Linked DNA regions of Coturnix japonica. The protein of the gene in region 3 purifies or fractionates together with the protein of the main gene of each other region. This does not show direct contact. Links are inferred from orthologs where the notes say so. Each region holds a gene or a part of one and is shown on either strand. Other genes may lie near its edges.

What was found.
Region 1: the proteins of NUP160 (region 3) and NUP43 purify together in Homo sapiens (affinity purification with mass spectrometry; 5 studies listed by BioGRID and IntAct, counting the BioPlex papers as one, with this or other methods). This does not show direct contact. The link is inferred for Coturnix japonica from reciprocal best matches to the Homo sapiens genes NUP160 and NUP43.
Region 2: the proteins of NUP160 (region 3) and SEH1L fractionate together in Homo sapiens (co-fractionation; 3 studies listed by BioGRID and IntAct, with this or other methods). This does not show direct contact. The link is inferred for Coturnix japonica from reciprocal best matches to the Homo sapiens genes NUP160 and SEH1L.

Annotation. Positions count from the first base shown.
Region 1 is NC_029518.1:43,392,379-43,395,565, forward strand, and holds part of NUP43 (nucleoporin Nup43), read right to left. Parts: intron 1,939-3,187; coding exon 1,803-1,938; intron 961-1,802; coding exon 809-960; intron 1-808. UniProt on the Homo sapiens protein: Component of the Nup107-160 subcomplex of the nuclear pore complex (NPC). The Nup107-160 subcomplex is required for the assembly of a functional NPC.
Region 2 is NC_029517.1:87,397,321-87,401,599, forward strand, and holds the start of SEH1L (nucleoporin SEH1), read right to left. Parts: upstream 2,866-4,279; 5' UTR 2,802-2,865; coding exon 2,691-2,801; intron 1-2,690. UniProt on the Homo sapiens protein: Component of the Nup107-160 subcomplex of the nuclear pore complex (NPC). The Nup107-160 subcomplex is required for the assembly of a functional NPC.
Region 3 is NC_029520.1:523,817-528,144, reverse strand, and holds the start of NUP160 (nuclear pore complex protein Nup160), read right to left. Parts: upstream 2,816-4,328; 5' UTR 2,771-2,815; coding exon 2,568-2,770; intron 2,068-2,567; coding exon 1,857-2,067; intron 1,596-1,856; coding exon 1,373-1,595; intron 1,165-1,372; coding exon 1,086-1,164; intron 463-1,085; coding exon 348-462; intron 1-347. UniProt on the Homo sapiens protein: Functions as a component of the nuclear pore complex (NPC). Involved in poly(A)+ RNA transport.

The DNA.
Region 1 (3,187 bases), on a different chromosome or scaffold from region 3:
AATATACACCAGTGGGAGCAGCATTATTTAGCTCGGCTGTATGCAGAATGGAGTCACTCAGCAAGTGCCTCCTACAGGTTTGCTTGCAAGAAGGGTGGTGAGAAAGAACTGTCAGCTCCAGGAAATGAAAAGAGCTCCAGTTAAACAGAAGGATGCTATTGCTTTAGGAGAACTTCACACTATTTTTTTTTAACGTTATGGACTAGTGAAGACAGCCTGGACCCTCAGGGTCCGGAAAGTAACAAAACCAATTCAGAAGTATCAGATATGCAGCTCAATGTCCTCTTGTTAATATGATATGGACATGCACCCCAGCTCCCACCATTCTCAGCTGGTGTGGTGGATAGGTGGGGAGAAAGGCCCCCAGCCCCACCTTCAGTTATCACTGCAGTTTTCCCTCCATAGGAGAGGGGAAAAAGTATATCAAATACCCTATTTTCAATACTGTGTATGTTGCTAGAGGTTACAATCTTCTCTAAACTCAGGCATTCTGAATAATTTCTTATGCCACCTTCTCGACTATTAGTTTAAATCTGCACACAACACATACTCCTTCCCAGAATGAGATTGTATGTCTCTAATGACTAACAAGGAGCTGCTTACTAATTCTAGCTTTAATTTAAACAGAGTTGCCTTTTAGATGAGAACAGTTTCACATACAGAGAGGGAACAAAACAAAACCAACTGGATAATGGCACTTTATGCAGCAAATGTGATTGTTTACTACTAAACATATCCAAGATTTTATCCAGGATTTACAGAACCTTTTCCTAAGACAACCTCTCTTTTCCTTAACTCAGATACTTACTTTCTGCTTCATGAGCATTTAGCAAGGACACTGGCATAGTACCCTGCCTGATGTCCCAGATACTCAGCATCCCATCCTGACCCCCTGTGGCCACAATGTGTTGCTGATTGGGGTGTCTGTCCACACAGTGCAGTGGAACTCTGTCACCAGTCCTGTAAAGGAGAAGAAGAAAAATAAATGTGTAAATTATATCTTCATGCAATTTACACTTTCTCTTTTTTACACTCCATAAGCATTGACCGACAGGGCAACTGTGTCAACTGCAGCCACATGACACCTACTGGAGTGAAGACCTATAGCAGTAACAGGCTGCTATGACTGGAGGGCAGCAGGTTCTGTGTGCTTGGGCACAAGGCACCTACACAACATGCAACAGCTTTGCAAGGATGAGAAAGCCTTGTGTACAAATATTTCAAGTATGCCTACAAGGAGGTAATTCTGATATTCAAGTTATAATTACAGTTGCAACATACGCAGCCAGCTACAGATGGAGACCTGAGTTAAAGAGGGAGATAAGGCGCTAACCAGGTACCAAACCCTAAGCCTATTAACAGCAATGGGAACTATTCCATAAACAACAGGATTTGAATCCAGCTTTGTTTTCTCACAATACCTTAAAAGGCATAAAGTTATCCTTCAGAAACATTTCAAATGGCAGCAATTTTTTATAGGCCTTTTGGAAAAAAACAGATGTATAATTAATCAGCTAAACAGGAAGAAGTGCTTTGCTTTGCTCTTAAAGAATGAACATGCAGATACAATAGTCCTTCAGAGTTAAATCACAAAGCAGACCATTACAGCGTTCAGTCACAGCAGTAATTAAGCAGACTCTGTTTTTGGTACTGAAATACCAAAGCAGTAGAAATATTCCGGGGGGAAAAAAAAAGGTTATTTATCATCCCATAGCCAAGAATGAGGCGGTAACAGGAGAGACTTAAATCAGATATGAAGTAGCATGTGCTTCTCAGTAAGTAGACAAAAATTAAGGTCTTACAAAGAAAATATCTGAGCTGGCTCATTTCTTTGTTGTCTGAAGTCCCATATTTTCAACTGTCCAATTGAATTTACCGTCAAGATCTCAGTCGTGCGAAGGAAAGTCACAGCATGGAGCGTACTGCTATCTGCATTGTCTGCAAGAGAGGTTAGCAAAGCATTAAACTACAAGTTCAGGTAAACCTACAGAACACTTAACTCCATTTAATGAACACTAAACAGCTCTTCTAAAACCAGACTACATTCTCAGGGTCAGAGATGGCCCAGCGTTATGTGAAATTTTAAGTGTTGCAAGAATAACCTTGCTTCCTATAGAAATATTATCTAGACAAACCTGTAAGAAGCTGTGTTTGATTAGATCCAGTTCTTACTGACTCACTTGCTAATCCGTAAGTTTTCTTTCTGGAGTACCTAAGAATAATCAATTAAGCCGAGCCTGTGACTTTCCTGAGAGTTCTCTTTACAAGCTCTCAATCCACAAATACAAGAAAGGCTGCGGAGTTTTTAAGAATGCTCTTCTCCTTTCTGTTTCTCCTACAAGAAGCTGTAATTCTTGCTGAGAACACAGAACAGTGGAACACAGAAGCACTTATTTCAGCAATCGGTGTTTAAAATACTTTCTTCAGGCACTTTCCAAGAGCAGTCATCAATATCATATTCATCCTTAAAGACAAACAGAAACAATGCTTTGTCTGTTAATCTGAACAAATGAGAAAGCCATTTTCCAGGTCTTTTTCTACAGTGCTCCTTCTGATCACAGTTTTCTACAAGTGCCAAGAACAGGTCACAGAACTGACTTGAAACAAGAGGCTTTAGGAGAGACTAAAACAAGCACTGCATCCATATAGAATCACTCTGTGTTATGTAACTCTTTAATCTTGATTATGATGGGGTAACATAAATCTATTTCCACTCCAGCTATTTAAAAACTAAACTAACCCCATCCCAGGCAACTTTAAAGCATCTTCCAACATTTCCTCTTCTCTCCCATTCCAACTTTTAGTCTTAAACCACCTCTAATCAATGAGCTTCTGCTAGTCCTTTCCACTTAAGTCCAAGTAAGATCAACTCACCAAGTCACACATTTGACTGAATTATTTATGGTTCATTTATATTTTATTATTTCTGTTTCCAAAAGGATATTTCTCAGTTAATTCACATCTGATTTATTTTATGCATATGTTCCTGCTGAGCTCAGCACCTCAGTGCAGTCTCAGTTTATGTTACCAGTACAAAGTAATCATTTTTACATAATACCACCAATGAGCACTAAGAAAACTACTGATTGCATCCTGCACATTATTACATCTGAATACAATCATTTGAGCAACTGCTCAGAAAAAAACAGAGATCTGTGAGGACATTTCCCTCCTGAGTCAGCAAAAC
Region 2 (4,279 bases), on a different chromosome or scaffold from region 3:
AAAAAGAGGGAAACACAATTTGGAAACTTTTACACCCACAAAATTAGGCATAATTGGTGTGTTCAGATGCTGGGAAACCCAAAGGCAAACTGGAACACAAAATTGAGAACACAAATTCATAACAGAAACATTTACCAGTATTCCTCGGTACAAACTTCTGCCAAAACATCACTTCTTAGAAGAACTTATTCTAGCAAATAGCAGTGGTTGTGCACCTCGGTCTTTTTGGCTGCAATTCAGAGAATGCCCTTAGTTTTGTAATGTGGAACATAAGCTTGAATGCAGATGAAAATACATATAATCCTGCAATAAGCCACCGTGGTACAGAATGTGTGCTAGAAGATCATGATAACATCATTACGAAATTAGGAAAGAATACGAATTCAAGACTTGCTGGGCAACATAATGCTGTTCCCAAAACTGCAGTTTAAGCACCTCTTTAACCTCTATAAAGTAATGAAAAGTGATGCTCTGGTATAACAACTGTGAGGTTAGAAGTGGTGAAAGCATGTAGCAGTCCTGTGCAATCTGTGGAGGATATCATTTTAAAGCCGAGAAACTGGGGGCCTTCCAGCAGTTTCAAGCCTCCATAAACTTGCAGTGTGAAACCTTTATGTCAGCTGTAGGCTGTTTCTATAGATAGACAGTATACACACTTTCTTTTCAAAAATCCCATGGTTTAAATTTAAATGAAGTTTCAAGAGGCTCAACTAACACAAACAGATCTGGTAAAATGTTTCAGATGGTAATTTCATGATCTTTTAAGGTGAAATGACATCAAGCTACTCTGGACACTCACTACGTTTGACTTTGTTACCTGCAAACGATGATTTGGATAAATATCGCTGTAGTTAGGGCTGAAAAGAGGGACAAAAGATCAACTAACAAATACAAGCCCCAGCAAGTAAGATCCCTTCTTCAAGCAAGATAAACAATAACTTGGAGTCATCACTCTCTTGGCAGCTGACCGTTCTCCTCTTCCTGTAGCCATACCCTGCACCCCATGCGCTGACTCACAGACATTAGGTTTTGTGGCTGACTGCACATCCCAGCTTAGGTTGCTGGAAGGGTTGCTTCACAAAGCCACAGCAGTCTGAAGTCTCTGCCCATCAGACATCCTGGCTGGCTGCCCTTTCTGCTAACCAGTGTCCATTCACTCGTGACAGCACTTCTGCCAGCTGCAATTTCCTTTTCGCATTCCACAGTCATTTGAGCTTCACCATAGGAGTCCAGTGCCATGCAGACTGGCACAAATCTCTGCACTAGGAAACGTCTCTTACATAGACCTTAATCTTTCCTTTCTTCCTTGGCCATGAATTTCTTCTACACTGAACTCCAAACCACAGTGTTAGGATAATCATTTATTCTGCTCATAGCTGTGTCATGCTTGTCTTCAAAGCATAATTACAGCGCCCATTAATTCCATTTCTGATACACAACCACCTTTTAGTAGACATTGGCCACCAGAATCCCACTGCTGTGTATCTGTGGCTGATCCCTTAAGATGTCCTTATCTGAATTGCTAACCTGCTCGGGTCCCTTGTGATTCTGCTGCCACTGCTGCTGTAAGGATTTGTATTTTGCTATGCAAGTTTTCAAAGTATTGTTTTCTTTTGCTGTACGCCAAAATACTGCACAGAGTAAGTGGAGGAAATCAATGGTACAGTTGGAAAACTGGCAAACATTTTTATGAAGAGGAGTTTTAATTTCATTCTAACAAGGAATACAGTACTCCAAAGGCTGAAATAGTAAAGTTCCACTGTATGTACAGAGAATCAATGAAACTCATTTCATTCTGATCACCATTTTATTCACCTTTTTATTCTCCCTAGCAGATGCCAAAGGAGTGCCCAGCCCTTCCAGATTCTATCCTCTTCTTGAGGGAGGAAAGCATCCTTCTCTTTTCTGGGCCACGGGCTATAAAACTTAAATCAGGAATTACATGTACTCCAGCTCTCACATCGTGGTGAGCTTAAGTACATTACAGCTTCATTTCTTAGCAGCTAACATTGGTATGGAGTGCATCTGTGAATAAAGTCACCTCAGGGAAGAATTTGTTCTTCATCTACTAATATCCAAAATGGTTCTCAGAAAAGCAGCACAGAACAGATCATTTCCGATAAGTGATACTTGGGTAATTTCCAGCCAATGACCCAAAAAAACCAAATGGGTGTGTGAAGGAACAAGCACTTAGTCCATTCTGGAGTGGTACTAAATTTAATTGTTGGTCCAAGGTCACTGGATAAACAACGTCCAGAGTTAACTTCAGTGGTCACAGAATCACAGGATGACCCGGGTTGGAAGGGACCTCAAGGATCATGTAGTTCCAACCCCCCTGCCTGGCAGGGCCACCAAACATACACCTTTACTAGATCAGGTTGCCCAGGGCCCCGTCCAACCTGGTCTTGAACACCTCCAAGTGCCCCTGCAGGCACCAAGGTCAGTGCAGGACAGGAGGAGCTCCAGGCACACAGCAGCCGCTCCCTGCAGCCCAGCAGAGGCTCACGAAGGAGCAGCCCGTCCCCCTGCAGCACCGCGATGCCGCATGATGCGAACCCAGCCCCGCATCACGCCGGGGCCGCGGTCGGGACTCGTGCAGGCTCCGCAGCGCGGCCCCAGGCCCTGCCCGCCATGGCCGCGCCGCCCGCAGGCCGCGTGCGACCGCCCGTCCCGCCCAGCGCCGCGCCCACCTTGACGCTCTGGTCGCTGGAGCAGGTGGCCATGCGCCGCCCGTGGAAGTCGAAGGAGACATCGTGGATGAGGTCCCGATGATCCGCCGCGATGCTGCGCGCCACAAACATCGCGGCGCCGCCCGGCCGCCACGCTCACTGCGCTGCGCCTGCTCCGCCACGCCCGCCCGCAGCCAGGAGGCGGAGCTTCGTGCGGGGACGCAGGGAGGGCTGCCTCCTTCGGCTCTGGGTAAGGCACGTGTAAATCAGCACTAAGTGCCGTGCCGCCGTGACTGGATGCCGCTGGCAGGGGGTGCTGTGCAGATGGAGCTCCCCGCCTTGTTCCTACAGCATCCAGGGGGTGGGAGTGGCAGCGCACAAATGCACGCCGCGCTGCTCAGTACATTGGCAATGGTCAGGAGGACATAAGCGCCCTCGGTTACTGAGTGCAACCACTTTGTGCCATGTAGCGAGATAATGGGATGCGTGCTTGGACTTGGAGAAACATCAGATCATTTGCAGTTTCCAGTCACTGAGCCATAAATTTGGACTGCAATATCTAACCTCAGGCTGAGCTGAGCTGAAGACCTGAATGAATGAACATTCAATTCATGGTGATGTCTGAGGCAGAAAACTCAGTGGTATTTCCACTTTGTTATTTGCTAGATCACATACAGAGGAGTGGCATGCTGAATCGGGGCAATACTGATACTTATTTTTGAATGTTTGGATTCATTATTATCTGTAGATTACATTAAATTGAACCACAGCATAGAAGAAAGAAAAAATATCTCTAATAAGGATAGTTTTCCACTTTTGACACTGTATGCTGACGTTGTGCTCAAGTTGACTGAATAAACCTGCGTAACTTCATTAACTTCAGCTGGAAGTTCAGCATGACTCTATTAACATTGGTGGAGATACTCAAAGCAACTGCTGGAATATCAACTGCTTCATGGATAAAGGCACTCTGGAAATGGAAGTACTTTGATTTGATACAGTAGTACGAGTATTATAGAGCAATTTGATTCAGGGGAAAAACAATCCAGCAAATCCAGTCATTAAGTAGGTTTATTAGCTTTGAGTCTCCAAAGCTTAATGATCAGAAACAGTTTGCAAACGTTTGGCAAACTGCCTGGAAGTGTTCTTGTATGTGTAAAATACTGTGTTCTACAGGTGGTGAGGCACTGGAATGGGCTGCCCAGGGAGGTGGTGGAGTCACCGACCCTGGGGGTGTTCAAGGAACAACTGGATGTTGTGTTGAGGGACATGGTTTAGGGGGAGCTATTGGTAATAGGTGAATGGTTGGACTGGAAGATCTTTTAAGTCTTTTCCAACCTTGGTGATTCTATGATTCTATGATTCTATGAAGTTAGAAATCTAAAGATGGGGGTTTCAGGCGAAAGCACCCATAATTCAGCAGTATGTGAAAGATAGGAGATAGATTCTGTTCAAGGAAGAAAATACCAGAGTTAAGAGTGTAAGTCAAATGAAGTGACTGAGAGATGGCAGAAAGAAATCAGCAGCTAACACATATTACACGGGCAGATGTGGGAATAGGTAAAGTCCACAGGTCTTCACATGAGTAAAGTGGGAGTCAAACTCCTATG
Region 3 (4,328 bases):
CATAAGCATTCTGGTTGCAGTTTAGCTCCCCCAGCTCATCTGTGCTCTCCCAGCCAGCACATAAAGCTTCCCCTCCCTCCAGTAGCAGACACACATTCCAGCACAGCCCAGCCGTGAAAGTGCCTGTGCTGGCTGATTAGCTCTGGAGCAAGTACAATGCAGCAAGCAGAGGCTTTTAGCAGTTTCTTGTTGACAAAGAGTCACATTACATTACCACTCAAGCAGCAGAACACCCGTTTTGGGTGCTGCCTCATCCCTTGGGGTACTCCCACTTGCCTGCCAGAGTTAGTTTGGAAAGCACCCAATGTCACCTGTTAAACTACACCTGCCCCGAACGCAAGCCTCACCTTGTAGGACCACATCCGAAGCTTGTGGTCCTGGCAGAGAGCAAAGAGAAAGGCATCGTGGTCCAGGCAGTGAACTGCAAGGCTGATGGGCACGTCTGATGGGCCACCGTCACCTCTGAAAGCACAGGTGTGTTAAAAGGAAGCCAAGGTTGGCACACAGGTCCAAGGCAGTAGATTTCTATCGTGATGTTTTACCCATTAAGATGAAGGACTGAGGTGGGAAAAGAAAGGCACCTGGCCCCAAGCAACGCACCCCTTGTGATCCAACTCAGGGTGCCGCAGGCTCACTCACATTTCCCAGGAAGGCTTTAACAGGGTTTGATCATGTGCTTAAGCTGCCATAAGACTACAGTCCCCAAACGAGCTGTTATCTACACGTAACCTCTGCTGGTCAGAAAGAAGCCTGACATTTTGGAACAAGGACAAGAACATACAACTGTTGTAATCCTTAATCTACCCTGGCTGCGAGCCACATCCTGGGTAAATCCTCAGAGGCCAATTACTGGATGTAACACACTCACAGACACCAACGCACAGAATCAGCAGGACCCCACTAAGATGAACTAATCCAGCCCTCAAGTCTCACTGTGACGGGGCCTGTGACCCAGTTAACATTGCAGAACACATCTGCAGGTGCTGATTTGCCCACGCTGGACTTCAACTAGAAACACCACCTCCTCCTATGCGAGGGAATCATAAAGCAAAGCGAGCTCCCTGTGTTTGTCCCCAAACACCAACCTGATTGCTGTTGGCATCCAACCGGTGAGAAAGCGCTGCACCACCGAGCTCTGCTTCAACTCCACAACCGAAACAACTCCTTGCAAAATAAAAGCAACACAGGGAAAACACAGTGAGGACTTAGTTAACAAAACACATGTTGCCAGAAAGGAGGCTGATGCAAAAGAGATGCTGTGTGTGCAGCAAGGCCGTAAGACACAAGTGACAAAAGCAAAACCCATCGAGGTCCAAAGCTGGAAGAGGGGATACAGTGCTCCACAGAAGCAGGTGTGAGGATGCAGCCTTACCAGGTATGTCATGAGGAGGCAGCTTAATAACAAAGATGCCTCCTGCTGCAGAGGGTAGAGCAAAAAGGGCCTCCCCATCACTGCTCAGCCAGGCTGCTGAGGCCAGTGAGTTGGCTGCCAAGCCTGGCACACTGGGAATCAGGTAGTAGCTGGATGGATCTCTGAAGTTGATTTTGCCAATGTCTGTAAAGACGGACTGCACTTGACTCTCTGCTATCAGATCCTGGAGGAGGTAAAGGGAGGAGAACAAGTCTCAAGCACATACACAAGCCATGGAGGAAATAACTCACCACCTACAGAGCAACACTGCTAAGTGACAGTCACTTTTTCAACCCACGATTGCTGCTTCCCAAAACATACAGGCTTTAAAATCTCATTTTCCAGCAGCATTTTCTCCCTTCTCACACTCAGTAATGCCTCCACAGGAGCCACTGACCACAGGGCCAGGCTTTAAATCCCTCATAAACTCCTCTATGCCACTCACCCCGCGATAGGCACGGGCTGGATGAGGCAGCAGGATGCGGTGCACGCTCTGCACAGTGACCAGCAGCAGCACCAGGTGGTTCTGCACCTCACACAGGTGTACACCGCCCGGCAGCAGCGGGCAGCCCTGGATGCGTAACCGCACAGCATTGTTCAGCAGCTCCGTGTCCAGAGATTCCTCCACCAGCTCAAGGATGTCCCCAGATGTTGTCCTGAGAGAAACAAGGAAGTGTGGGACAACAGGGGACACAAGGAGGGGCTGGGAGCAGGTAAAACCATCCCTGCCTGCCCCACCCCCACCCCCATAGCCTTCTCTATCCCTTCCTGCCCCAAATTCATTCCTTCTATAGCAAAACCCCTTCCTTCTGTCCCTGCCTTCTCCAACTCACATCCCTATCATCCCCCAAACCCATCCTCAACCCCCACAACCCCCACCTTCCATCCCTACCTGCCTCCAAACCCACCCCCACCACCCCACAGACCCTTGATCCACCCCCAGCCCCAAACCCATCCCCCCTCATTCCCTCCATCACTCCATTCCCACCCCAAAACCCAACACCCTCCCACTCCAGACAGCCCCTCCATGCCCCAAGCAGCCTCTCTATCACAGCCTCTCTATCTCTATGCCCCAAAGAGCCCCTCCATGACTCAACCCCCCCCCCAGGCCTTCATCCCGCCCCGTCCCCTCACAGCCCCGCCCGCCCTTACTCACCACCTCACGCAGCGGTTCCGCGTGGCCGCCCCCAACTGAGCGCACTCTCGGTAACAGAACCCCCCAGCGCTGTCCCCGTAACGCCCGGTGGGGACGGGGGCGGTACCCGGCGGGCTGAAGGACACCTCCCGGATCCGTCGGGGCGGGGCACGAGGAGCCGGGCCCAGCTCCATGTAGCTGCGCTCCGCCAGCCCCGCCGCCATCTTGTCAGCGCCTTCCCGCCCGCGCGGGGCAGCACGGGAAATGGCGGGCGGGGAGGAGGCGGGGCCACCTGCCGGGTGGGCGGGGCTAAGGGCGGGGTGGGCGGGGCTATGGGCGAGGCCACGCCCACTTGCGCCCAGGCCACGCCCCCTCCGGGCTCGCCCGCTGCTTCCTGCGGGCACGGCCGGGACGGGGCGGCGGCGGAGTGCTGAGAGTGAGTGAGAGCGGGGGGGGAGGGATCTATGGGGCTGGATGTGGGGCTGGGGTGTGTAGAGCTGTGGGGGGTTGGATATGGGGCTCACGGGGCCGTGTGACCGCTGGGGTCCCACAGCGGACCCACAGCTGAGGGTCTCCGTGGGGGCGGGGGGGGGGAGCCGGGGTTTGCTATGGGGCCTGTGGGGCGTGGGGTTCCCTGTGCTGTGGGTCCCTGTGGGGCTGGGGGTCGCTGGGGTCTGTGGGTCCTGGGGTTCCCAGCACTGTGGGTGCCTGTGGATCTGGGGACCGAGGGCTACAATGGGGCTACGGTTCCGTGGGGTGGGAGCCAGGGATCCCTATGGGGCATGGGGTCTGTGGGTCCCAATGGGGCTTAGGTCTGCGGGTTCCCAGTGCCGTGGGTCCCCGTGGGGCTGGGGACTGCGTGTCCGAGCGGGACAGCAGGCCATGGACCCTGGGGGTCACGATGGGGCAGGAAGCTGTGTGTGCCCATGGCGGGAGCGGGTTGTAGGATCCAGGAGGGGAGAGCGAGCGTTCGGGACCCCAAGCCCATGGCGTCACCCCAGCGCTGCTCCTCGGCCGCGGGGCCGCCGGAATCTTGGGAAAAAAAAGCAGGGAAATGGTGAAACTCCTGCCCTTATATGGCTCCGGCCGCCCTCCGACGGCCTTGGCTATTCGTTTCCCACGCGGGAATTCCCCGCTGCCTCAGTTTCCCCATCCGCTGGTCGCTGGAGGGGCCGGGCGTGGTGGGGGTGGGGGGCATCGGGCCGGTCTGGGGGCTGAGGTCGGGGTTAAATCCCTCGACGGAGGCTTTGGCAGCACCGGGAAGGGGAGGGGGGGGGGGGGCACCGTCGGCCCCGCGCCGTAATCCCGGAGCTGAGCGGATTATGGTGGCCGTGGGGCGAGCGGAGCTGCGGCTCGACGGACGCCCCAAGGCCGTGCCCTCCCGGGGGGCACCGATCCGAGGGCGGCGGTGGAACGCGGCCATGCGGCACGGGAGGAGTCGGAGGGAACCGGCCGGACCGGTTCGAGTCCCGTTTTGCGTCCGTTCCGGTGCCCGGGGGGAGGACCCCGCCGACGGCACGTGGACGTGGCTGAAGGTCACCGTCCAGTGTTTGTTATCACCATCGTTCCCATTGTTCCCTCTGTTTCAACCCTCTTCCCAGCCAGCGTTCGGGTTTGGGGTGGCACTGGAGGGCAATGGACTTGGTGACATGGAGTGGTGCCATATGGTGACATGGTGAGCATTGGCCATCAGGTCAACCTTGGAGCACCCCATGCCATCAATATTGCAGCAGCCTCCCTCCTTTAGGTTTTGGGTGGCTTTGGTAGCATCCAATGGGGCAT